Linked DNA regions of Ovis aries. The protein of the gene in region 1 interacts with the protein of each later gene in a biochemical or structural test. Links are inferred from orthologs where the notes say so. Each region holds a gene or a part of one and is shown on either strand. Other genes may lie near its edges. The genes, in order: HIF1A, KPNA6, MAPK1, MTA1, CREBBP, EGLN2 and HDAC1.

The links.
Region 2: the proteins of HIF1A (region 1) and KPNA6 form a complex in vitro, tested with the Homo sapiens proteins (2 studies listed by BioGRID). The link is inferred for Ovis aries from reciprocal best matches to the Homo sapiens genes HIF1A and KPNA6.
Region 3: of the proteins of HIF1A (region 1) and MAPK1, one has a biochemical effect on the other in vitro, tested with the Homo sapiens proteins (3 studies listed by BioGRID). The link is inferred for Ovis aries from reciprocal best matches to the Homo sapiens genes HIF1A and MAPK1.
Region 4: the proteins of HIF1A (region 1) and MTA1 form a complex in vitro, tested with the Homo sapiens proteins (2 studies listed by BioGRID). The link is inferred for Ovis aries from reciprocal best matches to the Homo sapiens genes HIF1A and MTA1.
Region 5: the proteins of HIF1A (region 1) and CREBBP form a complex in vitro, tested with the Homo sapiens proteins (6 studies listed by BioGRID and IntAct, with this or other methods). The link is inferred for Ovis aries from reciprocal best matches to the Homo sapiens genes HIF1A and CREBBP.
Region 6: the proteins of HIF1A (region 1) and EGLN2 form a complex in vitro, tested with the Homo sapiens proteins (3 studies listed by BioGRID, with this or other methods). The link is inferred for Ovis aries from reciprocal best matches to the Homo sapiens genes HIF1A and EGLN2.
Region 7: the proteins of HIF1A (region 1) and HDAC1 form a complex in vitro, tested with the Homo sapiens proteins (2 studies listed by BioGRID). The link is inferred for Ovis aries from reciprocal best matches to the Homo sapiens genes HIF1A and HDAC1.

What each region holds. Positions count from the first base shown.
Region 1 is NC_056060.1:71,948,989-71,952,572, reverse strand, and holds part of HIF1A (hypoxia-inducible factor 1-alpha), read right to left. Parts: intron 3,239-3,584; coding exon 3,018-3,238; intron 2,479-3,017; coding exon 2,192-2,478; intron 786-2,191; coding exon 663-785; intron 525-662; coding exon 100-524; intron 1-99.
Region 2 is NC_056055.1:235,353,886-235,357,469, reverse strand, and holds part of KPNA6 (importin subunit alpha-7), read left to right. Parts: coding exon 1-129; intron 130-2,201; coding exon 2,202-2,389; 3' UTR 2,390-3,584. UniProt on the Homo sapiens protein: Functions in nuclear protein import as an adapter protein for nuclear receptor KPNB1. Binds specifically and directly to substrates containing either a simple or bipartite NLS motif.
Region 3 is NC_056070.1:72,077,233-72,080,816, forward strand, and holds part of MAPK1 (mitogen-activated protein kinase 1), read left to right. Parts: intron 1-3,251; coding exon 3,252-3,368; intron 3,369-3,584. UniProt on the Homo sapiens protein: Serine/threonine kinase which acts as an essential component of the MAP kinase signal transduction pathway. MAPK1/ERK2 and MAPK3/ERK1 are the 2 MAPKs which play an important role in the MAPK/ERK cascade.
Region 4 is NC_056071.1:67,462,067-67,465,650, reverse strand, and holds part of MTA1 (metastasis-associated protein MTA1), read right to left. Parts: intron 1,801-3,584; coding exon 1,750-1,800; intron 1,372-1,749; coding exon 1,245-1,371; intron 811-1,244; coding exon 747-810; intron 1-746. UniProt on the Homo sapiens protein: Transcriptional coregulator which can act as both a transcriptional corepressor and coactivator. Acts as a component of the histone deacetylase NuRD complex which participates in the remodeling of chromatin.
Region 5 is NC_056077.1:3,737,285-3,741,482, reverse strand, and holds the start of CREBBP (CREB-binding protein), read left to right. Parts: upstream 1-1,398; 5' UTR 1,399-2,202; coding exon 2,203-2,287; intron 2,288-4,198. UniProt on the Homo sapiens protein: Acetylates histones, giving a specific tag for transcriptional activation. Mediates acetylation of histone H3 at 'Lys-18' and 'Lys-27' (H3K18ac and H3K27ac, respectively).
Region 6 is NC_056067.1:49,455,209-49,459,310, reverse strand, and holds the start of EGLN2 (prolyl hydroxylase EGLN2), read right to left. Parts: upstream 2,804-4,102; 5' UTR 2,732-2,803; intron 2,545-2,731; exon of another isoform or gene 2,241-2,544; intron 1,632-2,240; 5' UTR 1,396-1,631; coding exon 577-1,395; intron 1-576. UniProt on the Homo sapiens protein: Prolyl hydroxylase that mediates hydroxylation of proline residues in target proteins, such as ATF4, IKBKB, CEP192 and HIF1A. Target proteins are preferentially recognized via a LXXLAP motif.
Region 7 is NC_056055.1:235,260,622-235,264,795, reverse strand, and holds the start of HDAC1 (histone deacetylase 1), read left to right. Parts: upstream 1-1,298; 5' UTR 1,299-1,364; coding exon 1,365-1,413; intron 1,414-4,174. UniProt on the Homo sapiens protein: Histone deacetylase that catalyzes the deacetylation of lysine residues on the N-terminal part of the core histones (H2A, H2B, H3 and H4).

The DNA.
Region 1 (3,584 bases):
AACATGAAAAAGTTTGCTATGTTTAAAAATAATTTACCATCATACACATTTCCTTAAGAATAATGACCAAAGTATAAGTTTAATGTTACGTATAAATACCTTTGACTCAAAGCGACAGATAACACATTAGGGCTTCTTGGATGAGATTTTTCTGTCTGTTCTATGACTCCTTTTCCTGCTCTGTTGGGTGAGGCTGTCCGACTTCCAGTATCACTATATGGTGTCGTTGTGGCACAAGGAGGTTCTTTAGGTACGTGGGGAGGAGATGGAAATGCAATCAGTATTTTAATGTCTTCCGTACCATCTTTTGTCACTGTTTTCAATTCATCATTGGTGGCGGTGGTAGTGGCGGTGGCTATAGGAGGTTCTTGCATTTGAGTGGGCTGGAATACTGTATTTGTGCTTGCACTTTGAGGACTTGTAGAACTGTTTTCCAGTGGTGACAACTGATCAAAGGAACGTAACTGGAAGTCATCATCCATTGGGATATAAGGAGCTAACATCTCCAAGTCTAAATCAGTGTCCTTTAAAACAAGATACATGAGTTTTTACAATGGCCATACCTTATGAAGCAAAAACAAGTTAAACCCACAGCCACTTGAGAATAAAAATTAATAAATAAATTTTAATAGAAAATATATATAATAAACAAGTTTATATACCTGAGTGGAAAATGGATTCTTTGCTTCTGTATCTTCAGCAAAAAGTTTCTCTACCAATTCCAACTTGAATTCATTGACCATATCACTATCCACATCAAAACAATATTCACTGGGACTGTTAGGCTGTAAAAAGAATTAATATATTTTACTTTTCTCTGAGGAAGCTTGGATAAATGTTTTGCTAGTTGTTAGAATTTGCAAACCTCATCTCAGAGAATATACAACAGAACTCTTCTCTTCTATCAAATTATCTAACTAGTGAGAAATTAAAATTTTGAACTTACACTTATAATTTTGTCAATATATCCATTTCTAACTGTACATAACATCATTTATAAAATTAAAAGATGTGTTTATCTGCTTATTCTAAAGAATAAAACTCACCTAATAGTTCAACACCCAATGGTACCTAGCTGGCCAATAACTAGATGATACACTCACTGGAATCTAGCTGTGTACTGAGGCCATGTTGCTATAGTGATCTACCTAAAAATCGCACAGCAAATCTGGGGGGTGAGGTAGGGACAGGGCTGCAGACTGAAGTTCTTAACTTGTATTCACCTTAATGAATGTAGTACTAGTTTAGTTTTCAGCAAAAATTCTAACCAAAAAATGACAGCTGCCTATTCTAAGCATAAACTTTTGCCTTCCTCGTCTTAACATTTTTGTTAGATTTATTTTGGTTGGATTAGAAACAAAATGATTCCTTTTTTGCGCTAGACGAAACTGAGCCTCCAGCGAATAGATACATTCTCTGGAAGACTATGACATGTCAGATCTCCTACTTTTTTAGCTTGCCAGTTTGAATGAATAAATATTTAATGTAAAATAATGTTATCACTTTTTAAGGCTTAATTGAGCCTCACTTATAAACTCATAATACTCAAATATGAGTAGTCCCCATCCATGAGCATGTTTTTAGACATAAGAAGCTCTGAAATCAAGTATGTCTAGATTGGGATATAGAGCCCTATTTGATACTGTCAGTCTTGGCCCAGCTAGCCCTTAAAGATTGTTTTTATATGAGAAAACTAATATCAAGACAGAACTTAAATTTAATGTAAAGTTTTTACTCTGGGTAAGACTTGGCATTTTCATGTAATACTTACACAGAATGTCAATACAGTGATGGAAATTGTACTAAACTGGGCAAAGCCCTTTGCTACTGGATAATTCTCCAACTCAAAGGGTAATATGAATGGGCTTGGAGCAGTCATAAGCACACAGTATTGCCCTCTGTGGATGTCTAAATTCAAGACTTTTATTGTCCTACTGATATTAAATACACAGAGGAGCAATGTATGTTTTACCTTTTGCCTTATGTTAAGGCATCTCCTTCCCACATTCCTGATTGTTTTTGAGCCTGAAACATGGGACTGAGGTCAAAGTTAGGCAGAGCTTTTGCAGTAATTTTAAAAGTGCTAAAAGTCACACAAACAAAACTATGACATGTGGTTCAAATTTACAAATACATCCCCAAACATTAAAATCTATAAGTTATCCTTTTCTAATTATATTATGACACCTACCTCAGGTGAACTTTGTCTGGTGCTTCCATCAGAAGGACTAGCTGGCTGATCTTGAATCTGGGGCATGGTGAAAGAAAGTTCCAGTGACTCTGGATTTGGTTCTAACTTTAATGCAACTTCTTGGTTGAGTGCAGGGTCGGCACTACTTCTAAGCGGCTTTGGAGTTTCAGAGGCAGGTAATGGAGACATTGCCAAATTTATATTCTGCAGTTTCTCATTAGATGAGGGGAGCATTACATCATTATACAATGGAACTTCCTCAAGTTGTTGGTCATCAGTCTCTGTGTCTGTAGGGGAAAGATTACCTAGATTTTAACATATACAGAAATTTATGTCCCCTCTTACAAAAGGTTTGTCTAGTTGACTTAAGTAATAAAAATGTTACCAAATTTTACTTAATCTAAAAGTCTGCAGATACTATGGTATAACTCTAAGTCTGAGTTATCCTACCAATCCACTATTGACAACTTCTGTAATCTATAGCATAAAAACCCCTGCATTCCAACCTTCTCATACCTTGTATTTATTAAAGTTTAACCTAGTTTGAAATTAGTTTTCTTTCTCAATATCTGATATTATGGTACAACGCCTTATTCTTCAGCTCAACTTATGGCTGCTGCATATAACTGCCCACTTGTGCAGAAGACATGGCAGCAGGGTACAGAAAAAGAGCAGCTGGGAGCAATCAGAAGTGGGAAGGAGAGACGCCCTAAAAGCACTGTGGAGCACAGTCTCCAAATCACAGGGCCAAAGGCCACAATGTCCAAATGATCATCAACAACAAATGGTAAAGTTTAGGCAATTAACAAAATAACTAAAGACCCACCATTGCTGCCAAAATCTAAAGATATGATTGTGTCTCCAGCAGCTGGTGCCAGCAAAGTTAAAGCATCAGGCTCCTTCTTAAGTTTATCAAAGAGACTGCTTGTATCTTCTGATTCAACTTTGGTGAATAGCTGAGTCATTTTCATGTCTGAAGATTCAACTGGTTTGAGGACACATTCTGTTTGTTGAAGGGAGAAAATCAAGTCGTGCTGAATAATACCACTGTCAAAAAAGAGAGATTAGTAATTCTTAAATGAGAACTTGACACAATGTTGGAGGAGGAGGACTCTGAAATGTCTCTCAAAAAAATTCAAAATTCTGCTTTATGGAATGATGCCTTAAAATCTCTCTCATGCCTACCTGGTCATGTTCAGGGTTTAAAATCCAAAATATGAAATAAAGACCTATTAAAATTCACAATACAAGATAATTCAAATATTTGATTAATTTCAGTTAAGAAACTTCAGCTATCCCTTTGAGAAGACTGGTGGTAACAAAGAAATGTAATAGTCAAGTACATGTAGGACAATAAACAGATCTTTTGTGCCAACATGGAATGAAATTAACA
Region 2 (3,584 bases), on another chromosome or scaffold:
TGATGGATTCAAAGATTGTGCAAGTGGCCCTCAATGGACTGGAGAACATCCTTCGGCTTGGAGAGCAAGAGGGCAAGCGCAGTGGCTCAGGGGTCAATCCCTACTGTGGCCTCATCGAGGAAGCCTATGGTATGTGCCCTCTCCCCAAACTAATGTCTGCCATAAGCAGAGTTCAGAACCATAAGTTCTAGTTCAGAACCTCTGAAGTAGTATATGTATGTGAGGGTGTATGGTCAGCATTGAATGCAAAGTTTTATCCCACAAGTTCCATTTCTTCTGAGGAGCAATAGATCAGTTCTCTTTCTGATGGGCTGTACCCAGTAAGTAGGTTATGGTACAGATGCAAAAATAAAGCTCCAGAATTGATAATAGGATAAGGAGCTGGAAGGCATGTTTTCAGCTGAGTTTCTAGCAAGTTCCTTTCTTTTGTTTTTCCATTATAAACAAGCTTATTACAAGATACTAGATAAGTTCTCTGTGCTGTACAGGAGGTCCTTGTTGTTCATCTATTTTGTTAATAGTAGTTTGTATCTAAAGCTTCCCAGGTGGCACAGTGGTAAAGAATCTTTCTGGCAGTGCAAGAGATGCGGTTTGATCCCTGGGTCATAGAAAGTCCCTGGAGGAGGAAATGGCAACCCACTCCAGTATTCTTACCTGGAAAATTCTGTGGACAGAATGTGTCAAAGAGTGGGATGCGACTGAGCAACTCGCATGCACGTGCACACACGCACGCGCGCGTGCGCACACACACAGTTTGTATGTGCTAATCCGAAACTCATAATTATCCCTCCCCACTCCAGTATTCTTGCCTGGAAAATTCTGTGGACAGAGGAGCCTGGCAGGCTGTAGTCCATGGGATCTGACTGAACAACTCACATGCATGCACATGCGCACGTGCGCACTTGCGCGCGCACACACACACACACACACACACAGAATTTGTATCTGCTAATCCCAAACTCATAATTATCCCTCTCCACCTTTCCCCCTTTGTTAACCATAAGTTTGTGTTCTGTCTGTGAGTCTCTTTTTATTTTATAAATAAGTTCACTTCTATCAGTGTTTTTAGATTCCCCATATGTGATATCATATGATAATTGTCTTTGTCTGATTTACTTTATTTAGTATGATTATGTCTGGGTCCATCCATCTTGCTGCAAATGGCATTATTTTATTCTTACTTGGGCCTGAGTAATTTTCCATTGTAAATGTACACCACGTCTTCTTTACCCATCATCTGTTGATGGACACTCAGGTGGCTTCCATGTCTTGGCTATAGTAAATAGTGCTGCTATGAACACTGGGGTGTATATATCTTCTCTCCAGATACATGCCCAGGAGTGGAATCGCTGGATCATATGCTAGGTCTATCTTTAGTTATTCAAGGAACATCCATAGTGGCTACACCAGTTTACATTCCCACCAACAGTACAGGAGGGTTCCCTTTTCTCCACACCCTCTCCAGCATTATTTGTAGACTTTTGGTTTGTTTTTGGTTTTATACTTGTCATACCTCTTGGCTTGCGGGATTTAGGCCTTGGTAGTGAGACTGCTCAGTCCTAACCATTGGACTTCCAGGGAATTCCCTTGTAGACTTTTTGATGATGGCTGGTGTGAAGTGATACCCTCATTATAGTTTCGATTTCCACTTCTCTAATAATTAGTGATGTTGAGCATCTTTTCATGTGCCTCTTGGCCATCTATATGTCTTTGGAGAAATGTCTGTATAAGTCTTCTGCTCATTTTTTGGTTGGGTTGGGTTATTTGTTGTTCTCATTGAGCCATGTGAGCTGTTAATATGTTTTAGAAATTAAGCCCTTGTGAGTTGCATCAGTTGCAAATATTTTCTTCCATTCTACAGGTTATCTTTTTTGTTTTGTTTATGGTTTCCTTGGCAAATTCTGTTAGGGGTACTGGGTTGACTCACTACTCATCTCCAGGAGATTCAGAATGGTTAACAAATCACCCAGGTTAAACCACTGATTAATAACTGACATTTTAGTTGTTTTCCTTTGGGGTTATGTAATTTTAACTGAAGATCGCAGCTCTCCTCTTTCAGATCAGAGAGAGACCTGATCATATTACTTTTGTTTATAAATGCTAATATACCTCAGGGAAGGCAAAATGCATTCATGTTTTATGGACCCATAGTAAAGCATTCCAAGTTCATTCTTGTCCCTGCTTCTTTGTTGCCACCATAGGCTTGGATAAAATTGAGTTTCTCCAGAGCCATGAGAACCAGGAGATCTACCAGAAGGCCTTCGACCTCATTGAGCACTACTTTGGTGTAGAAGATGATGATAGCAGCTTGGCTCCCCAAGTGGATGAGACGCAACAGCAGTTCATCTTCCAGCAGCCTGAGGCCCCCATGGAGGGCTTCCAGCTATAATGTCTGCCTCCAGGGAGGGGAGGGGATGGGAAGCACCACCAACCAGCGGAAAAGCAGCCCTCTGGTGGGCGGGAAGCCAGCCCCCCCACCATCAGCCACCACACACCTCTGCTGCCCTGGAAACTGTGCTCTTGACCTGCTCCGACCCCTTCCCTGGAGGGAGCACCCTCTGGACAGACAGAACCATCTGAGGCTCACGTTTGGGTTTTGTGACAAGAAGGGGATGTGTTGGGTTTTTCTTCCTTACACTATATTTTGGCTGCACATATGTCTTTAACCCAGGAGCCCAGGGGTAGACAAAGGAGGACTGAGGTAACCAATTTTGCACCTTTTTTTTTTTTTAATTTTAATTTTTTTCTTTAGTGGTGACTTCCTTCCCTATTATCTTCCTTCATCCTTCCCAGTCCTCTGCCCTGATCTGTGTAACTCTTATCTTGGGTACTTGAGCAGATGGAATATTCCAGAGGTGAGGGGGGTGGGAGGGGAGGGGAGAAATCCAAAACAAAGTGTTCTTGCTCTGACAGAATATTAATCTTGTATGCTTGGATTGAATTATTTAATTTTTTCTTTTGCACATTTTTTCTTGTATTAAGATTGCTCTTTCCCAGAGCCATGAGTTCCTGGTATTAGGAAACCCAGCTGCCAGCATTGTCTGGGACTAGAGACTGAGGGGGAGGTCACCATGCGAGAAAGGCCCCTCCCTCCCTCCAACCCCTTGCCCAGACCTCTTTAGTTTGGGAGATCCCCTTCACTCTCCTGGGGCACGTGCACCAGTGGGAGTCAGCGAGGAGGAGCACAGGCCTTCAGACAGGGCTTCCCATGTGTCGCTACTGATCCCATGTTTCCTACCCACCTTCCAGTGGTGCGACCTGACTTCATTTGTTTACTTGAAAATTCCCCTCAGAGTTGAAATGAACCTCTGAGGTAGCTGTATTTTCTCCTAAGCACGCAACAGAGGGCTGTGGTCCTTGCTTTCTCCTGAGGAGAAAGTCCTTGCTCGGGTGACCCATAAGTTGCAGAGGAGGTTGGAGTGAGTGTCATGTACTGGGATAGCCAGGGGATCCTTGCCTTTGGCCTTTCCTCTTCCTCTTCCGTAGGTGGATCATGTATATTTGACTTCCAAAGGAGAGAATGTCAAAAGTTCTGTATTTTTTTATATTCTATATATTAGGTAGGTCAATCTTAATTGGTCTCA
Region 3 (3,584 bases), on another chromosome or scaffold:
CCGTCCCACAGCCCCAGGCCTAGAAAGTTTGTAACCGGTGGCCTTACTGATGTCTTGTTATTTAGGTGTTTTTTTTTTTTTTTTGAATTTTCAAGCAGGTAATTAGGTCACTTCTCCCTGTTTCCATTGACTTCTGTGTTAGTATTTTTCACTCTTGAGCCACCAGGGTGTCAGCTCTGTCAAGTGTCTTAGACCTTTAGCTTTGACTCTGTACAGTCAAGGCCAACAGCAGTCAGCTTCTGGTTTTGGCTTCCATAACATGCTTCGTGCTTGGTACCCAGCCTTGAGACCCAGTACACACTGGCCTCTCCTGGCCTTCCCGGGCCCTCTTCCTGCGGGCACCCTGTCTATTTCTCAGGGCCGCAGAAGAGCGAGGGTTGTGGACCCTATCTGGAGACTGTGCTGGCAGTGTGTTCTTAGTGAAACTTCAGGGGTATGTCATCTCCAGCAGTGTTTGTCCCGGGTGTTTGCTTGCTGAGCCTCCATCCAGCAGCCCCAGGGGAGCCCCGGCTGCTGGGGTCGCAGCGTGTATGCTTCTGGGTGGGCCTAGAAAGGAGGGTCAAAAGGTACGAAATGAAAGATCTTTGGGGCTTTTGTTCTAGGAGAATCTGAATTTACTCAGCCCAAAGGTCGCCAGGTAGGAGGGGTAGGACATTTGACCAGGTCGCTTTCTATTTCCGTACCGTATCCTGGGTGTCTACCTTCCTCTGCATAGAACTGTAGTCACTGTTTTGGGTAGCCTTGGCAGTTTTTTGGTCAGCGCTGTATTAGCTTTCAGTGTTGCAGTGAGCGTCGCATGAGTTCTGTGGATGACCGTGAACAGAGTTTCCCTACGCGTACCTCTTGATTCGTTAAATTATAGCCAGTAATTTTTATCAACTACGAGCGCAGGATACCAATAGAAAAACATGGTCCTCCTTAAGCCAGCTCCCTCTTCTGGAAACTGGTAACTCACAGGGGAGGAGGAAACGCTTCCCTTGTCTTCCCAGTAGGGTCTGGACTTCAAGGTAGGCACAAAGCCCCGGTTGATGAATAACGGTAAAAGTAAATGCCAGCTGATAAAGGCACAAGGGATGATGAAGTTAGAGAAGTCAGCGCTTCGCAGCTCCCAGCAACGTAGCTGGTTGGTGCCGTGCGTTCCTGGGCCCGCTACTCAAGACTCCTGCTCCCTTGGGGGCTCTTGCCGCCTCCCCACGTGGATGCCTGTTTACCTCCCCCCTCCACCCAGGCTGGAGCCTCTCTCAAGCCCCCCAAGATGTCATGGCCTGAAACAGCAGTTGTCTGTTTGAATGCTTAGTTTCTGAGGTCAGAAGTTTGGTCAGGCAGCGGGGGGGTCGGGGGGGGGGGGACTGCTCTGGGCTCAGCCTCTGGACCGCAGCTGAGAGACGCCCTGGAGGCTCAGACCGTCGCCCACAGGCCTGGTGGTTAGTGCCACGGCATGGCCACACGCCGCCCATGTGACCTGGTGTCCCCACGACACGGCCAGAGGCTCCCAGTTCCCCAGGTGGAAGCCACGTTGCTTTTTGTGATCTCACCTCGGAAGTCACGTGGCACCACTTCCAGTATGTTCTCTTGGTTCAGGCAGTTAGAAAGGCTTGCCCAGCTTCCAGAGGAGGGAAGATAAATCCTGCCCTCTTGATGCAAGCTCGGCCCCAGAGCTGTGGCCAGCATGGGGGTCAGGGTTACGTTGGCGTGGCTTTCTTCTGCGGAGCCCTCTGCCGCGGCTGTCTTTAGCTTGCTCTCACCACGTGGGCCGTCTCTGTAGAGGCGGGAGGTCCTGTCCGCCTCCCGAGTGCGGCTCCTGCTTCTGTTCTGCTCCTGGAGGAGGTGGAGATGTCAGCCCCAGGACTGAGCCCGCTGATCTGGGGGCCTGTATGCAGGCTTTTCACCGGGGGTTCCGCTGACCACAGAGAGCTGTGACTCATGTCTGGACCCGGCCACGCCGTGTGAGCCGAGGGTGCCCAAGGGGTGGTGTGTGGCGCGGGCGCGTTGCAGACACGCAGACAGTCCGTCAGCCTGCAGCTGTCCCGGGTGTGGTGGCCTCAGCAAGCCGTCTGGCTGTGGAGGCGAGGCTGGTGCTGGAGGCCAAGGGGCCTCAAGATACCGCAGCGACTGTGCAGCCCTGTCCAGAGTGCCCAGAGCACGGCCCTGGAAGAGCCGCGGAGCGGGCGTGGCGTTGGCTCCTCCTGAAGACGCGCTGACGGGCTCAGAGGACGGAACTGGGCAGCGTGGACGCAGAACTTCAGAGGGCTGCATCGAGGAAGCGGCAGGGCCGGGGGTCAGAGGTGCCGCGGCGGGTGCCAGCCTCCACAGCCGCGAGCCCTGAGGAGGGGGGCGGAGCCTTCAGAGTCATTTTAAGTTGTCTCGACCTCCAGCTGTGGGGTCTCTGCAGAGGCTGGTGTCCGTTAAGTCTTCTGAATATCCCTGCCTCCGTATCTCTGTTTTTATGGACTGAGCTCACCCTTGTCACTTTTCAACCGAATTAAAGCAGTCAGCCTCCAAAGTGATCTCTGTCTTCCAGGCTGCCTTCTGCTGGATTCGTCTGTGTTAGCATCTCTCTCCCTCTTTCTTTCTCTCTGTCTCTCGGATTAGTTCCCCAGGAGCTAGGAATTAAAAGGTCCTGCAGTTGTTGGGGACCAAATAGGTTCCGGTTACTCTCCTTGCACGTTGTAATCTGGAGCAGCCCCGACCGTTGCGTGGTCAAGGCCAGCTTGCGTGAGTCAGGAGAAATTAGAAGCTGGATTTTTTTTGGTAAGGATCCGTCTTCAGTATGTGGAGCGTCTTGTACGGCTTTGGGAGTGGGTTTGACTACAGGAGGGGAAGGAGGTGGGCAGAATAGGCGGGGGAGGTCACGTGTGGAGAGAGGCCCTGCCAGAGAAGCTGGTCCCAGTGGTGACCGTTCCAGCGCTCACTGGGCGCTGGTTTGAGTGACCTTATTCTCCGTGCAGAACTGTTTATCAAGTGGCCTAAGCAGGTTTGCTGTGGGTAAGCAGATAAGTAGAGGCTGCATACCGCTGAAATTGTGTTCTGGGCAAGACCCTCCAACCTGTTCCTTCCTGACACGAGGTGGCTGCCTTCCCGTTGTCGTGAGGAGCAGGTAAGGGTGGGTGTGTGCCGTTGCCTTGCGGCTCTGCCGCCCGAGGATGGTGGCACTTGCTGCCGCCGTCACTGCTGGTGTCCCGCCAGTGTCTGCGGCTCTGCTGCTGGCGACCCTGACTCTCTCAGAAGCTGTCCTGTCTGCTTTCCCCTAGATCTGTGACTTTGGCCTGGCCCGTGTTGCAGATCCGGACCACGACCACACAGGGTTCCTGACCGAGTACGTGGCCACGCGCTGGTACCGGGCTCCAGAGATCATGCTGAACTCCAAGGTAAGGGCCAGGTTTGCATCAGAAGAAATCCGGGAGACCAGAGGACTTAGGGCGTGAGTGGCAGTCAGCGTGGGCTGAGGCTGGGCCTGTCTGGCCAGCCCCAAGGTACCGTCTCGTCTCCCTTCAGCACTGACGTCCCGGCCCTCGGCTGGGCTCGTGCTGGCTTACAGAGCTGCGGGGCGTGCTCCCGCCATCAGCTGCCTGCGTCCCGCCCCC
Region 4 (3,584 bases), on another chromosome or scaffold:
ACCCGAGTCAGGCATCAGGGAGGCTGCACACCAGGCCGCCCTCGCTGGATCGCCGGACCGCTGGCACCGGCAGCCACCTGCACTCCCAGTCCACACCGCCCCCTCCGCTCGCTCCTCAGGGCCCCGGGAGAGCCTGGCCTTGCCTGGGGAGGGTGCCACCCGCAGGGGATGACACTCCGGCAGGAACTGCAGGGGTCCATGGGCAGGTCCCCTGGGAGCCAGCGGCACGTGTCCCCTTGGCCGTGCCCTGACCTGCCCTTGCAGGATAACGCCCGAGCCCCGCTGCGGCGACCCCTGGTGGCCCCCCTGCTTCCCTGGAGATACGTCTTGCTGCTCCAGGGACACGCGTGTGTCCTCTGGAGACGGCTCTGATCATCACGTTTCTCGGGAGAGGGGACGATAGACAGGCAAGCCCGCCAGAACCACCCACCCTGGGGGTCACAGCGGGAAGGACAGCGGCCACAGGGTGAGGAGCTTGGGCATCACCGCAAGGCCCGTCCACCAGTGGGACGAGGTTGGTCCCCTGGCCCAGGCAGCACTGACGACCCGTTTCACAAACTCAGACGCTTCCAGTTGCCCGGCCAGCAACGCTGGGTCGGCGCAGTGTGGCCGGGACATGGCCGCCAGGACGGCTGGGTGGGCACCCGCCTGCTGGGGAAGCCCAGACGGCAACCAGGGCAGCTGCCACGGGCCTCCCCGCCCCCAGCAAGACAAGCTGTGCCCCTCGGGGGGCGGGGGAGCCTCACCTCCCGCTCCAGGTAGGACTTGAGGGACTCGGTCTCATTCAGCAAAGTGACGCTGCACTTCCCCCTGCGAGGCAGGACACAGGAGGGCGGGCATCAGGGCGGGCGGGTGCTCCCGTGCCCACCCAGGCCTGCGGCCCCTGACGTGCGGTCCCCCGCTCGGGCCTGGGGTACCTGACCTGTGCTCCCTGCCCCAGGCCTGCGGTAGTGGTCCCCGCCCAGGCCTGCGGCCCCTGACGTGCGGTCCCTGCCCAGGCCTGCGGCCCCTGACGTGCGGTCCTTGCCCAGGCCTGCGGCCCCTGACGTGCGGTCCCCGCCCAGGCCTGGGGTACCTGACCTGTGCTCCCTGCCCAGGCCTGCGGCCCCTGACGTGCGGTCCCCTGCCCAGGCCTGCGGCCCCTGATGTGCGGTCCCTGCCCAGGCCTGTGGCCCCTGACGTGCGGTCCCCACCACCCGGGCCTGCGGCCCCTGACGTGCGGTCCCCGCCCAGGCCTCCGGTACCTGATGTGCGTGGCAGGCAAGGACTCCAGCTGTCTGGACAGGAACAACTCCCGATGCCGCAGCTGGTGCTTGAGCTTCTCAGGCAGGTCTACCATCTCCGGGTTCTCCATCTCCTCCTCTATTTCTCCTGAAGGACAGAGCGGACATGGACTCAGGCCACCGAACAGACCCACCCGCTGGCTCCCCCGGCCCCCGCCCCGCAGGGGGCCCCGGCAGGCACTCTAGCCCAGCCGCCCCAGCAGCCCGCAGCCGGGAAGTCTCATCAGGAAGGAGGACGTGTCCTGAGCCAGCCGAGGGGAGACAGGGGAGACGAGGCGGCCGCTGCTGCACGTCCAGGGCCGGGGGGCAGAGACCCCACAGCCATGTCCCGTGCCCCCCTGCACCAGAACCCCCTCAAGGCCAAGCTGCAGGGGCCTCCGCAGGCCCACCTCACCGCAGGCAGGCAGGGGCGGGCATGCAGCCCGGCGCACAGGCGCCAGGACCCTCCGGCAAGGGCGGCTCTTACCTTCCTCGCCGGCGTCGGCCCCCGATCCGGTCTTATAGCAGACTGACAGGGCTATACAGCAGACAGACAGACAGCGCCCAGACAGCAGGTCAGCCTCAGCACCCAGCCTGGCTGAGGGGGTGAGGCTGGGAGGCAAGGTGGACAGGAGCCCGCAGACCACCCAGCCAAAGCCAGAGGACGTCCCACCTAGCTGACCTCGGCCCTGCCCACCCCCACGCCCACGCCACCCACGCCTCCAAGCAGACCCCAGACCAGCCTGGGCTGGCCTGTCTGGGCAAAGTCGGCGGGAGGCAGACCTTCCGGAGAATAGGGCCCAGGGCACCAGGTGGGGGCAGGATGGGTCCCCAAGCCAGATCAGCGGCACAGCTTCCTGCCCGGGGTCCTCAGCCACCCCCCATGGCTAAGACACTGGCGCCCACAGGGAGAGCCTGGAAGTCTGGCATGTGGGGGGCAGCGGGGGGCCTCCAGGATGTGGACTCCGCACAGGCAGGCCTGGGGCGGGAGTGCCCTTGGCAGTGGTGGTCTGGGGCTACGCAGGAGGACAGGGAAAGCCAAGCCCACAGCCAGACGACCCTCCACCCCGAGGCCCCCAGGAGGCTGCATGGAGCAGGCTCGGGCCCCTGTGCGGCCTGCAGCCCTCTGCTGCCCCCCTGTGGCGGCTGCGCAGGGACCCGCGCTGCCCCCCAGAGTCCACAGCTCTGCAGCCGGCGGGCGGGGCTGGGGTGCGGGCAGCTGGGGAGGAGGCCGAGCCAGGCTATCTGGGCGGGGGCCACAGGGACCTGGGCACCCACCCACACTGCAGCCACGTCACACCCTGCCCACCCCTGGGGACCCCAGGGCAGCCCCACGCAAGGGGGTCACCCACACTCAGACGGCCCCCAGCCCACACTGGTGCTCATACCATCCAGGGGCAGCCTCGCCGGCCCGGCAGAGCAGCAAGGAGCCGGGGCCAGAGTCAGGCCCTGGGGCCCCTTTTATCATGGCCGCAGACCTCGCCCTCCTCACGCCGACACAGGCCCACCGGGGCTCCCAACCGTCAGTAACACGAGGAGCGGCCAGGAGCCACACTGCGGCCTCAGGGGCAGCCAGGGCTTCGGCCAGGCTGACCCCTGCCCCCAGGAGACCAGGAGTCTCTGCGTGGCTCTGCAGCCGCAGACATGAATGGGCTGTGGTACCCAGCGTCAAGGAACCCAGGGGCACACAGCCCCTGGGGCCAAAGCCCCTCCCTCTGGGATCCAGCGAGTCCTGGCCTTGGGCTCAGAGCTGGGGCCTCACCCACACACCCCACCAGTTCCCGAGCCCCGCACTCGCTCTGGGGTTCCTGGAAGGGCCTGTCCCACGCCCACTGCTCCTCAGGCAAGGTCCGGCTCTCAGGACAGCTCTGCGGGAGGCCCATGCACCTGTGAGCAGGGCCGGGCAGGCAGCCCAAGGCCTGCAGACCCGGTGAGGGCGTTCCTGCTCTGGGGAGGCCCACGGGCCCGGGGCATCTGTGCTAGCGGGGCGGGGCGCGAGCTCATGCCTCGGGCTCCAGGCCCAGAAGCAGCTCTAGCAGCAGATCCGACCACGCAGTGGGCGCCCACCCAGCCTCCATCCCTCCTGCCAGAAGAGGCCCGAGTATCCTTCCCACTCCCCTGGTCCACCCTGGCCCAATGAGACGGAGGATCCTGGGGAGACGGAGGCCCTGCCCTGAGCCGGGTGTGGGGGCCTCCCCAGCCCCGCCAGCTCCCTCCTTCGGGGGGACCCACTCCCCGCAGGTCTCGTGACCTAACGCTTGGACAAGCTCCCCTGGGGCCCAAGGGCAGGAGAGCTGGGCCCGTGGACACGGCCGCCACCGT
Region 5 (4,198 bases), on another chromosome or scaffold:
ATTTTGAACAATATACATAAACAGAAAAAAGTAGAAAGATCATTCAGTCTTTTTTTTTTTTTAGTTGAGGTACAGTTGCTTTACCATGTTGTATTAGTTTTTGCGGGTACAGGAAAGTGAGATCACTCAGTCTTAACACTTGAAGACCATCACAGACACTATATAAATGCTGTTTCTTTGAAGCAGAGTTTTTTTCTCTTTCCAAGAAGTTAACTCTGGTGCTGAATGGGGAGAAATATAGTTTTCAAGGGACGCTTAGTGGGGAGATGCCATTGGAGCCGGGGAGTGGGAGGAAGAGCGGTTTGCCCAGGTAAAGGACCTGGGAGGCAGGTTGCTCGGTGGGTGGAGAGGGAGGGAGGAGTCGGCGCTGACTCTCAGAATTCTGGCTTAGGGAACAGGTTGCTGGTGATACCTTTCAGATAAGGGCTTCGGATGAAGCGCTGGCAAGTTTTGAGAAGCAGATAAAAAGAACTGAGATGTGTGAACACCTCAGATTTTTGTGGAACCATCCTGTGGGGAGTGGCCAGGCGGGCCGATCCCCCTGGGACCCCACACCTGTCTGGAGCACCTGAGGGCTCCAGGAGGTTGTCGTGGGGCGGCGAGGGTAGCGCACCAAGGCCCGTCGAGGCCCTAAGCCCTGATGTAATGGGGCCTTCTGGGCCTGGGGACAGGCTGAGAGCGCCCGGCTGGAGGACAGCGCTCACCACCTCGAGGCAGGTTGAGGGTGTCGCACCTGGCGCCCCCGGGGCATCGGGCTGCGGAACAGGGGCTCAGAAGCCTGGCGACGCCCCTCACATCTCGCGGGGGCGTTCGAATTCCGGCCCCGCCACTTCCTGCCTCAGTTTCCCCACTGCACCCGCTCGCAGGCGAACCAGAGGGCAATGTGTAACCTGCAGAGGCCACGATACATCGCTGGCATCCGGCGAGGGGAAGTGGCCAGGCCTAGTCGCGGGGCAGCGGGGAGAGAAGCCGGGACCGAGCAGAGTCGCCCTGCGGGACAGGCGGGCCCTGTCACAGCCGACTCCACGCCCAGGGGCCCGGCTTGAGGCCAGGCCGCAGCCAGAGCTCTCACCGCCCAGTCGCCGTCAGAACAAAAGTGGCGGCGGTGCCGGCGCCCGGCGCCCCGCAGGCCGGGCCCCCGGCCGGCAGCCCCGCCGCCCCTCCGCCCGGCAGCACGACGCACGGCAACCGCGCCTTCGGCCCTTTCCGTCCGAGCGCGCTCGGCTCTTTCCGCCGCGGCCGGCGCAGGTGGAGGGGGCGGGGCGGGGGCCGTGCGTAGTGACGCCGCGGGGGGGTGACGCACCGGCGTGCCCCGCCCCCTCCCCCTCCCCGTTCAGGCTCTGGAAAGAGAAGAAAAAAAACTTTCTTTTTTTTTTAATTGAGGAATCAACAGCCGCCATCTTGTCGCGGACCCGACCGGGGCTTCGAGCGCGATCTACTCGGCCCCGCCGGTCCCGGGCCCCACAACCGCCCGCGCACCCCGCTCCGCCCGGCCGGCCCGCTCCGCCCGGCCCTCGGCGCCCGCTCCAGCGGCCCCGCTCGCCTCTCGGCTCGGCCTCCCGGAGCCGCGGCGGCGGCGGCGGCGGCGGCAGCGGCGGCGGCGGCGGCGGCGGCGGCGGAACGGGGGGTGGGGGGGCCGCGGCGGCGGCGGCGGCGGCCCCGCTTCGCGCATTGTTTTTCCTTACGGCGGCGGCGGCGGGCCGCGGGCGGGGAGCGGAGCCCGGAGCCCCCCGGTAGTCGGGCCGCGAGCGAATTAATTAAGTGGGGCGCGGGGGGGGGGGGGAGCGAGGCGGCGGCGCGGCGGCGGCACCATGTTCCCGGGGACTGCCTGAGCCGCCCGGCCGGGCGCTGTCGCTGCCAGCCGGGCCCGGGGGGGCCGCCGGGCCGCCGGGGCGCCCCCGCCGCGGAGTGTCGCGCTCGGGAGGCGGGCAGGGGATGAGGGGGCCGCGGCCGGCGGCGGCGGCGGCGGCGGCGGCGGCCGGGGGCGGGCGGTGAGCGCTGCGGGGCGCTGTTGCTGTGGCTGAGATTTGGCCGCCGCCTCCCCCACCCGGCCCTGCGCCCTCCCTCTCCCTCGGCGCTCGCTCGCGGCTCGCGCTCGCTCCTCTCCCCTCGCAGCCGGCCGGGGCCGGCGCCGACCCCAGCCCCGGAGCCCTCGCCGACCCGGCCGCCCGCGCTCGGGGCTGTTTTCGCGAGCAGGTGAAAATGGCCGAGAACTTGCTGGACGGACCGCCCAACCCCAAACGAGCCAAACTCAGCTCTCCCGGCTTCTCGGCGAATGACAGCACAGGTGAGAAGGGGGCCGGGCGGGGGGCCGGGGCCCCGGGCGTTGCTTGTCAGCCCCATCCGGAGGTGAGTGCCCCCGGGAGACCCCAACTCGGCTGCGGGCTGTGCGGGGCCCGCGGAGCGAAGGCCCGCGCAGCCCCTTCCCCCGGACCCCCGCCGCCGAGGGGGAAGTTTGTCGGAAGACTGTCATGGGGCCCGAGTGGGGCGGCACATGCCCGGTGCGCTTGGATCGCCCGGAGCTGGAGAGCCCTCCTCGCCGGGAGACCGAGTGGTACTTCCAGGGAGGAAAAGTAAAGTGGAGCGTGTGTATTCTGCGTGGTGATTCCGTCTGCCTCCCACTGCCGCCGTGTGTCCGTCCACACAAGCTTGGCTGGCTGGAGAGATGACAGCGGAGGGTACGCTGGCTAGTGAGAGAAGGAAATAGTGCTGCCGAAAGGAATCCCGAAGTGTTTTCTGAATCGGTAACATATACACAAGGCTGCGACCAGAGGACTTTCCTAACAGCAGCCAGCCCGTGAGTTACGACTTATAAGTTTCTTGGAATGTGCTTCCTGGGAAAATGCTTAGTGCTATTTTGAAAACTCTTGTCGCTGGTCACCTAAGCCATTCCATTTTTCGCAACCCAGAACTTCTTAGCAAGATGTCATAAAAGTTGCTGTGGAGTGTTAATTTCACGTGTATAACTTCGGAAGAAAGTTAAACAGCAGATTCATCTGGGCTGCAGTCTCCAGGGGAGCTTGTGGTGTTCTTACAAATGTACATATATATATATAAATTATGTTCAGGAATGTAGGAATTACCATTAAAAATTTATTTTTATCAGAATATTGAATAAATCGTTTAAACAGCTTGTCTGGAGACCTTCTTCGGTACTCCTATCAGTTACCTAAGAGAAGTAGTTTAGTTTTCTGTAGGTTTAATGATTCTGGGTTCTTCTGGGCTGGTTCACGGTAGCGTTATGTACTAGTTGTGTTTCCTCTTTCAGAGCTCTCCTTTGCAGTAAAACACAAACTTGTGCTCTGCTGCCCACGATTTGATTCCCAGCGCTGCTTGCATTTCTCCACTACGGTCTTGCAGTAGAAGCATCTGAAAATCAGTTTATAATGAATGGGTCCAAATTGAATTATATTGCTGCAGCAGTGCCTTCAGATTTGCAGTAGACACAGCTGTTCAGCTTGTGCAAATATTTCTTTGACCACTAGTGTTTTTCTACTAGTGGTCTAAATATCTCTCTATCCTGTTGAGACAAAACTTGAATTTTGTGGCTGCAGTTTTAATACAATTCCTAGACTATTATTTAATGTGGAAGTGACAGAAACAATCAAAAACAAAAAACATATCAGTCGTGAGATTCTTGTCTGGTTGAAATAAATTTGTTAAGCAGTGGAGAGGAATGAGTAAGTCTGGTGGGTGATTTTAAGTCACTAATAATACTCTATTTAAAAGCTGATAAAAATTGAGTTTGATGTTAATTTTTAAAATCGGCTTATCTGAAGTGAGAGATGTGGAAACAGGCAAGAGTTAAATGCTCTGATTTCACTCCATGAAAATACTATGGTTTTACTGCAGAATAGATCTCCTTTGCTTCGTTAATCTTGACATATTTGAGTGAAAAATCTTTGAACATATGAAATGTAGATCATACCAGACGAGTTTGGCCTTGAAGCTTGTCCTCTGAAACTGGTAACTTTTGAATGGCTTTGCAGCTTTGCTATTGTTAAATGAGGTTATTTTAGATTTTGTTTTATAAAGAGGGACAAATTAGTAACATGATACTTTAACAGAGAGGCTTGTTGCACTATATACTTTCAGCTGTTTCCAGGATGGTGCACAGTGGATTGGCCTTTGGGGCAGTTCTGTTCCAGGATGGTTAGATACTTAATGTGCTGCTAATCACAACAGAGTTTTATCAAAA
Region 6 (4,102 bases), on another chromosome or scaffold:
GTGCAGCCCAGCACCAGGCATGGTGGGCATCTTCCCTCAGCCTGGCATGGGCCTCACCACTGCCACCTACCTCTCCCAGTTCTCCTACCTGGGAGACAGACTAGACAGACAAGACACGCACAGTGGACAGGATGGACTAGATACACTTGGATGGAGGAAAAAATAAGGAAACAGGAAGAACACAAGATGGGCAGACAGACAGAGACACAAACCTTGCCCACTTGCTCTAAGGCCCATGAACAGACATCACAGGGCTGCTGACCCCAAGAAGGCTCAGACACAGATGCAGAGCTACGAATGGCGACACCTCTCTTCAGGTTCTTTGAGAGGATCCCCGGCAAGGTCAAGAATCCCGGTGACTATGGGCCAAACCCACAGCCTGCAGGTGTACAAACTAAGGCCCACAGGGCACAAGAGCCCACAGTGAGCTCTGACACTCCCTGTACCAGGGCTGCCTAAACCCTTTTGTGACCCCAGAAGCCTGTCCCCAAACTCACTGATACTCAGAACAACAGGCGTCCAAGTGCCTGGGGACCCCGTCCCACCACCCCTCACAGCAGGTCTCCGCGGCCTCACCTTGGTGCGCCCATTGATGACATAGCTGCCCAGCCTCCCAGCACAGTGGCGAATGACGGCATCCACGTGGGCCATGAGGGCACCGATGCTTTGGCAGCCCGGCTCATGGCCTTCCACCCAGGCAATCTGGTCCCCACGGATGCTGCGTGGCGGGATAGCCCGCTGGCTCACAAGCTGACCGTCTCGCAGGCGCCCGCCCCGCTTCAGGGCCTCTACCTCCGCCAGCACTTGGCCACCCAGGGCCGCCCCCAGAAAGCTGTCCTTGACGCAGATGCCATAGTACCGCATGCAGGGCACAATGTAGTCCAGGGCCAGGCGCTCGGGTGCCGCGGGCAGCACCTCCTCCCTCAGCCCGGCGCTGGCCTCGCTGCTGCCACTGCTGCAGCCCTCCCCCTCCGCCTCTTGGTTCTCCTGCCTGGCCCAGGGCCGCTTGCTAGGTGCAGGGGCATCCCCACCATCCTCTGCCCATTTCCGTTTGGGGGCCTCGGGCCGGGCGCCCTGGGCTGCCAGCCGCTGGCACCCCTTGGTGACCAGTGCCGCAGCGCCCTCACTCTGCAGCGGCCGCAGCTCGCCGCCATCCTGCCCACCGAAGCCCTCCCGCAGGGGGCTGCCTGTGGCGGAAGTAGCTGTGGCTCTGGGGGTCCCACTCCCCGCTGAGGCCTCAGTGGGCGCTCCTGGACGGTGGTAGGACAGCAGGGGACAGGGCAGGTAACTCTCCACCCCCATCCTGGCCCGGCTAGGCTCCAAGGGCTCTGACACTGAACCCGGCAACTGAGGGAGAGCCTGACTCAAGGGCTGGGGCTGGCACGGGCTGTCCATGGCAGCAGTGTCTTCATCCCCCGGGCATGGAGGGCACGGCCCAGGCCCATGGTGCCACCCTCCTCCACCTCCTCCTCCTCCACTTGATGCAGCCGGGGGCCGGGGCGGCTGGGCCTGGCGTGGGGCAGGATGAGGCAGGGCAGGTGGCAGAGGCTTTTCTCTCGCCCTGGGGGTGTTTGCTGGTCCCCAAGTCCTCTGCTGTCCCTAGGGGCTTGGGAAGGGACCTGTCACAGTGGCTGGAGAGAAAAAAAAGGAAGGTGAGAAGAGCTACACAGGCAAGTGCACTGGCGGGGAGTGGGGGAAGTGGTAGGGGCAGTAGAGGGCAAGGCAGACTTAGCTACAAAGACCCCAAAACCTGAGGTCATGGCGGGAGGGGGGGTGGGGGCGGCGGAGACTCTGGGACTTGGGGGGAGTCACGAAGAGACAAGGGGCAATAAACGGGACAGCTGGAGAAGTGAGGCTGGGTAGGTGACCCACAGCCAGAGGACTGCAGTGGGGGCTACGGGTGAGATACATCCTCACACACAGACCCACAAACAAAAAAGAAGTAAAGGAGGGGACTCTTAGTAGAAAAGGATGGCGGAGCGAGAACTAGAAGTTAGAAACAAACGGGGAGGACTGGGGGGAGGGGGGCGGATCAGTCTGGAAAACACAGAAGGAAGCGGGGGGGGGGGATCTACAGACAGTGGAAACTGGTGGCGGGGGGGGCGGGGGGGGGTTCCCGAAACAGAAAAAAGAATAGAGCGAAGAAGAGAGAGAGTGGGCCTGAGACAGCCGAGCAGAAGCGGGTGGAAGGGTCGACCCGAGCCCAACAGGAGGAAAGCCCGTTAGGGGCTGACACACACCCAGACGGAAGGGAGGTCCTGAGACGGACAGACGGAAGGGAGCCGTGGGAGCAGGGTCCACGGCGACAGAGGGAAGGGTGGAGGAGGGTTCACGCACTCGGGGACAGGACGAGGCGGGGAAAAAGAGCCCCCCTCCCAAGTCCCTCCGGTGCGGGCCCGGAGGCCCCTCGGGGCGCAGCAGGACACGAAGGCAAGGCCTAGGGACCGCTGGGACCCCGTGTCCCCTCCCCTCCCCCCCGCTCCGCCCGACGCGCGCTCCCGGCTCCCACCCCAACACCCCCAACGGCCGGCGCCCGACGTGCCCGGCGCGCGCTCCCTCCCCCACGCCCCACCCCCACCTCCCCTCCCCTCCGCTCCCCTCCCCTCCCCGGGGTCGCGGCGCTCCGCCAGAGTGCCGGGCGCGCGCCCCCACACCGCGCCCGGCTCGCGCCGGCGCCCGACTTCCAACTCCTTTTCCGCCTCGTTCCCTTCCCTTCCCGGGCTCTCCTCACCGAGCTTTTTCCTCCGGCCCCGGCGCCGCCGTTTGTGCCAGCCGCCCTGCGCCGCACAGCGCGCCATACCCCGCCCCCACCACCCGCGACGCCCCGCCCCCGCCTCGCCCGGTGGACACGTGACCGCGTCCGGGCGGAGGAGATGAACAGGCGCAGGCGCGAGCCGCGCGGGGCGGGGCGACGGAGTTCCGAACACCCTCTTCCAGGAGAAAGGGGAAATAAATGGATCCGACGGTAACGCCGGGCTTCTTGGCGCCCTCCGCCCCGCCCCTTTTGTGCGAGAGGAGGAACGCAGTTAGGAAGGGCCGGATAGGGCGGTGGGGGCGGGGGGCTCGTATACGACGCCAAGCGAGTGGGAGGGGCATGTAAATCAGCCTATTTACATAGACAGGCCGGCCAGTCTCCTTGGAGCAGAGAACGCTGCGGGAGGATGAGCAGTGGGGTCTAGGAGTGGCATGTATATCATGGATGTTATTAACATGGACAGCCCCGCCTTCTCACAGCCCAAGATTAGGACTGAAAAGCGTCTGGGCAAATAGTTGGGAAATGTATGTAAATTTGCACGACAGCAAGTAATTTACATAGGGACATTTTATAAAAAAGAAAAAACCGCAACGTCCTTGAGAGAAGGGAGAGAGGACTAGAAGGGATGTGCAGGTTCTGACCCGCTCTGCCCTGCCTCTTCGGGACAACTGTGTGGAGTCCGAATAAAACCAGCTAGGAAAGCTAGAGAAGACACTGGCATGACTATCTCAAGAGTCTTTTGAACAGTCTGGACGACCTGACCTAGGGGGATAAAATGCAGATGAGGTCATTTTAAATGCCCCGCCCCCTCCACCAGCCCCAGGCTGAGCAGGGACTCTGGCCTCCCTTGAGGACGGTTTAAGGCCAGCCTGGGGGAGGGAGAGCCATTGGGAGTGTCCTCAGTGGGTTGCACCAGTCCCTGGCAGAGCCCGTGCAGGTGTCAGCGGTCCACCTGGACACAGGAGGTAACACTGACCTTAAGTATGCATGGGGGTTAGGGTAGTACAAAAGCCCACACAGTCTTCAGGGGCACACACAGGGTTAATGGTCACACACAGGTGTGTCAACAGAGCCAAATACACACCAAAACACACACAGATCTCAGGGGCACATATGCACAGTCAAGCACTAACTAGACACTGCCTCAGACTTTCAGGCATCAGAAATGCATAAGTATCACCCACTGAGCAGACTCAGGGCTCACCCACAGGCCTGAATTCTCATTCCCTAGCCTCAGCGTCCCAAACATCACCCTTGTAGACACAATCACCAAGGGCACAGAGCACTCACAAGCAAAGTGTCACACACACACAAGCAACACTCATTCCTACAGATCCCATCACACCC
Region 7 (4,174 bases), on another chromosome or scaffold:
TATTGTTGTAGTTGCCTCTTTAATAGCCCACCACAGTGCTTTTCAGCCTTTAGCTTTCAATAATGATTGACTGATTGATCTAGTGCAGTGGTTCTCAAGGATTGGGTTGGGGGCACTTTTATACTTCCTCCAATCCTCTCCTCCTTGCCCTGGAGACATTTTGCCATGTCTAAGTACAATTTTTGTTGTCACAGCTGCAGAGGGCTGGGGGAGTGCTACTGGCATCTAAGAGTAGTGGACAAAGTGAAAATGTTAGTCACTCAGTCGTGTCCCACTCTTTGGGACCCCATGGACTGTAGCCCGCCAGGCTCCTCTGTCCATGGAATTCTCCAGTATCCTTATACCGGAGTGGGTAGCCATTCCTTTCTCCAGGGAATCTTCTCCACTCAGGGACTGAACCTGTGTCTCCAGCATTGTAGGCAGATTCTTTACTGTCTGAGCCACTAGGGAAGCCCACAGTGCACAGGATGGCCCCCCACAACATATTTGTGTATTATCCAAAATGTTAACAGCTTCAGTATCTTTAGAAACTCTGCTCTGGTGTAAGCAACAGTTTCCTCCCATCTAAAGGCACTCCTTAGGCCGCCTAGGAATTGCATCAGGAGTAAGAAAGGACTGCATTTGAAAAGAAAGACCGCATTTGGAATAAGAAAGGCTGGGTTCTGCCACTTTGATATGTGCTTCTGGAGTCGAGTAAGCGTTTTAAAAAATCTGTGGTTGAAAACTGAACGTGATTATTGTGTGACTCCCAGGAAGTCACAAAGTTCTCAACTTCGTTATCCTTGTCTGTAAAATGCGGATGAAAGGCCCCACTCCAAAGCCGCCAATAGGAACAACAGAGATGACCGAGATAATGTCGGTAAAGCTATGGCACAGTCCTTCGTCTACAGCAGTTTCCTGTCGTTTGTCAATTTATATTTCTCCCCCTCCAAACTTAACTGAGTGACCTTGCGCAAGTCACTTTCCATCGTAGGCCTCTGTCAAATGAAAGTTGGCCTCTGATCGCCAAGCAGTCTCCCAAAACGGAATGGGACACCCAAGTTAGCAGACCCACTTTCTTCCCCCGGGACGAATGGTACGATCCCGGGGCAGCCCCACCCCCCCCTGTCGCGGACCTTGGTACAGGCCCAGGGGGCCCTCCGAGGCCTCGCCGGGCTGCCCTTGCCCCCCGCCGAGTTCCGGGCCGTCCCAGCGCCGCTGATTGGCTGGAGTCGTGCCCGGGCTGCGCGGCTATAGGTGAGCCCGGGCGGGGATGGGCGGAGCACGCTGGAGGCCCGCCCCCTCCCCGCGGGTCGGACGCTGAGCGGAGCCACCGGCGGGAGGGCGGACGGACCGATTGACGGGAGGGACGGGAGGCGAGCAAGATGGCGCAGACTCAGGGCACCAAGAGGAAAGTCTGTTACTATTACGACGGTGAGCACAGTCCTCGCGCCGGGGGCGGGGCCGGGCCCGAGCCGGGCGGGATCCGGGAGAGGGAGCCGAGGAGGTCTGAGGGGGGAGGCTGAGGCGTTTGGGAAAGGCTGAGGGAGGAGGCTGAGAGAAGGAGGCTGAGGCTGAGAGAAGGAGGTCGAGGCTGAGGGCAGAGGCTTGAAAAGGTTGGGGTTGAGGGAGGAGGCTAAGAGGAAAGGAGGTGGAGCTTGAGGGAGAAGGCTGAGGGGAAGGGGGTCGAGGCTTAGAGGGGAGGCGGGGGCGGGGGGGGGGTCCGAGGTCAGGAGGGTCGCCTGGGGAAGCGTGAGGTCACCTTGGTGGGGAATTCTGAAGTCTGATGTGGAGTTTGCGGCGGCCTCCTAGAGAGGAGGCTGAGTCCGAGGCAGGAGGCAGAATCTGGTGAAGAAGATTGCCGGGTGACATGTTCTGCTGAGAATCCTAAGATCTCTCACTGCCCCTTTCCTTCCTCATCTCTTCTGGTGAGAGGCCTGCAGGACTCAGCACCTAGAGGTCACCAGCTCCCCTCCCCCTGTCTCCCAGCGGGCCCTGCGGTTGCTGCTGGGAAATGGGACTCCTGGGGTTGGAAGAAGAAGGATGCAACTTGTTAAAACAAACTTTTTCGTTGAACAGAAATCTGTGGAGCAGCAGCTTCTTCTGTTCTAGGTATCGTTTAGGGGCTGAGGCCAGGGGATGATCTTGCCACCTTCCTTTCACTCAGTCTGGAGGAGCATATAGACCATGACAGAAAATTTGCTCTACACTATCAGGTTGGGAGGAAGGACAGCTCAGAGTTTGCTGGGAGCACAGCGAAGTATCTGCCCAGCCTGAGAAGTCAGGCAAGGAGGTGCCATCTCAGTTAGGACCTGAAAAGCAGGAGTTACTAACTAGGCCCAGGAAGGATAAAAATAACAACAAGTTGAGAGGTAAGAGAGAGGCGAGCACCTTTGAAAAATGGCTGGATGTACAGTATGTTGGAGACATAAATTTGAAGGCACAGTGTTAGAAGGTGTAGAGCAGGGGTGAGAAAAGGGTTGCAAGTGATGAGGCTAGAGAAGTAAATGGGGACCAGATCACGAAAGGCTGGGCACACCACCCTAAGAAAGTTGGATTATATTCACAAGTTGGGCATTGGTGAATCACTGAAGTATTCAGGTTAGTGACATCATCAGATTTATTGTACCTTAGAACTATCACTCTGGGACAGAAGTTAAACGCATGAATGGAGAAGTAAGGAAAAAGGCAAGGATACCCAAGTATCTAGTTTGGGCAGTTTCATGCTGAATGTAGAAGGCCATTCCAGTTGATAATGTTGGGTTTTGTTTTTTAAAGAAACATTTGTTGAGATGTCTGGGGGATATCCCAAGTAGAGGTGTCCAGTAGGCAGTGGCCATTCAGGTCTGCAGTTTAGAAGACAAATGAGAAAATAGAAAATTTTGATGATTGTCAGCATATATACATACAGCTGATAATTTTAGTTACAGAAGAGGATGCAGTTACCCTTGTATCCCATATAAGAAGTTGTATAGGGTGAAAAGAGAAGAGGGTCCAGGGTGGGATTCTAAGGAGGTGGACTGAGAAAAAGTCGAGTGTTCTTCATGCTCTGTACTCCCTGGTGTGTAGAGTACATTTGTGCATTAGTCACTGTGTATTGGAATTGCCCATTTACTTATTCATACTTCTTACAGACAGTGAACTCCTTAGGGAAAAGGATCATGTTTTGTCTACCTTTGTATACTCAGGCCCCCAAAACAGTGCCTAGCTCGTAGTAGATTCTCAAAAAATACTGTTCATAAAGTGAATAAAGATACAGAGGGAATGACTTGAGATGTAAGTGAACCAGAAAGTGTTGGGTTACAGTAGCCGAAAGAGGGAGGGAGTGGCCAAGTGTCGGCAAGAACTGTTTCCTGTGCAGCATTTAGAACTGAAGTTAAATTGCTGTAGACTGAAGGGTTGAGTGAAGAGGAGGCATTAGATTGAACTTTTTTAAAAATCATACCACTCTGTGTGTAGGGTCTTTGTTCCCAAACCAGGGATTGAACCTGTGCCCCCTGCAGTGGAAGCACGGAGTCTTAACCACTGGACCACCAACGAAGTCCCTTTAAAAGGAAGCTTGTTGAGACAGAGAGAGGCTTGTTAATAAAGAAGAGATGTAGTGGCTGAGAGTTAAGTATGTGCAAATTTTTATGGAAATTAGGGAGAGGTTGAAGATACTGGGGAGAGGGGCTAGTAACGATGGAGGTCCCTGAGGAGAGATCAGGTCAGATGGAAACCAGAGCACACGTAGGGACACCCCTCTTTCAAGAGGCAGTTCCTTTGGGATGAGAGGTTAAGTGGCAAGAAAAAACATGTTTGAAGGAGAGAAGATGGAAAGCGGAGGGGGCTTTTAGGATGAAGTAAGAAAATATTCCTTTTCGTGAGAGTTGGGGAGGGCAGTTGGGTAGAATAGGCATCTTGAAGAGAGATAGCTGTTATGAAAGAGGGAGCAGGTAAAAACATTTGAAGCCTTGCTGGGCAGTGGTGAGGGCCCATTTGAAGCTGGAGTCTGTGACTTCATAGCTTTATCAGTTTGCACAGTTTTGTGATCTCCACATTCTCAGTTTAAAAAGAGAAAAAGTGGAAAGACCTCCATCTTTAGAGAAGGGTGATCTCTTCCTTTCTGAGAAACTACTTGTGAGTTTCTCAGTGAGGTCACTAGTTGGGGGTTGAAATTTGGCTCTGCTGCTCAAAAGCTTTGAAGTATTGGGCA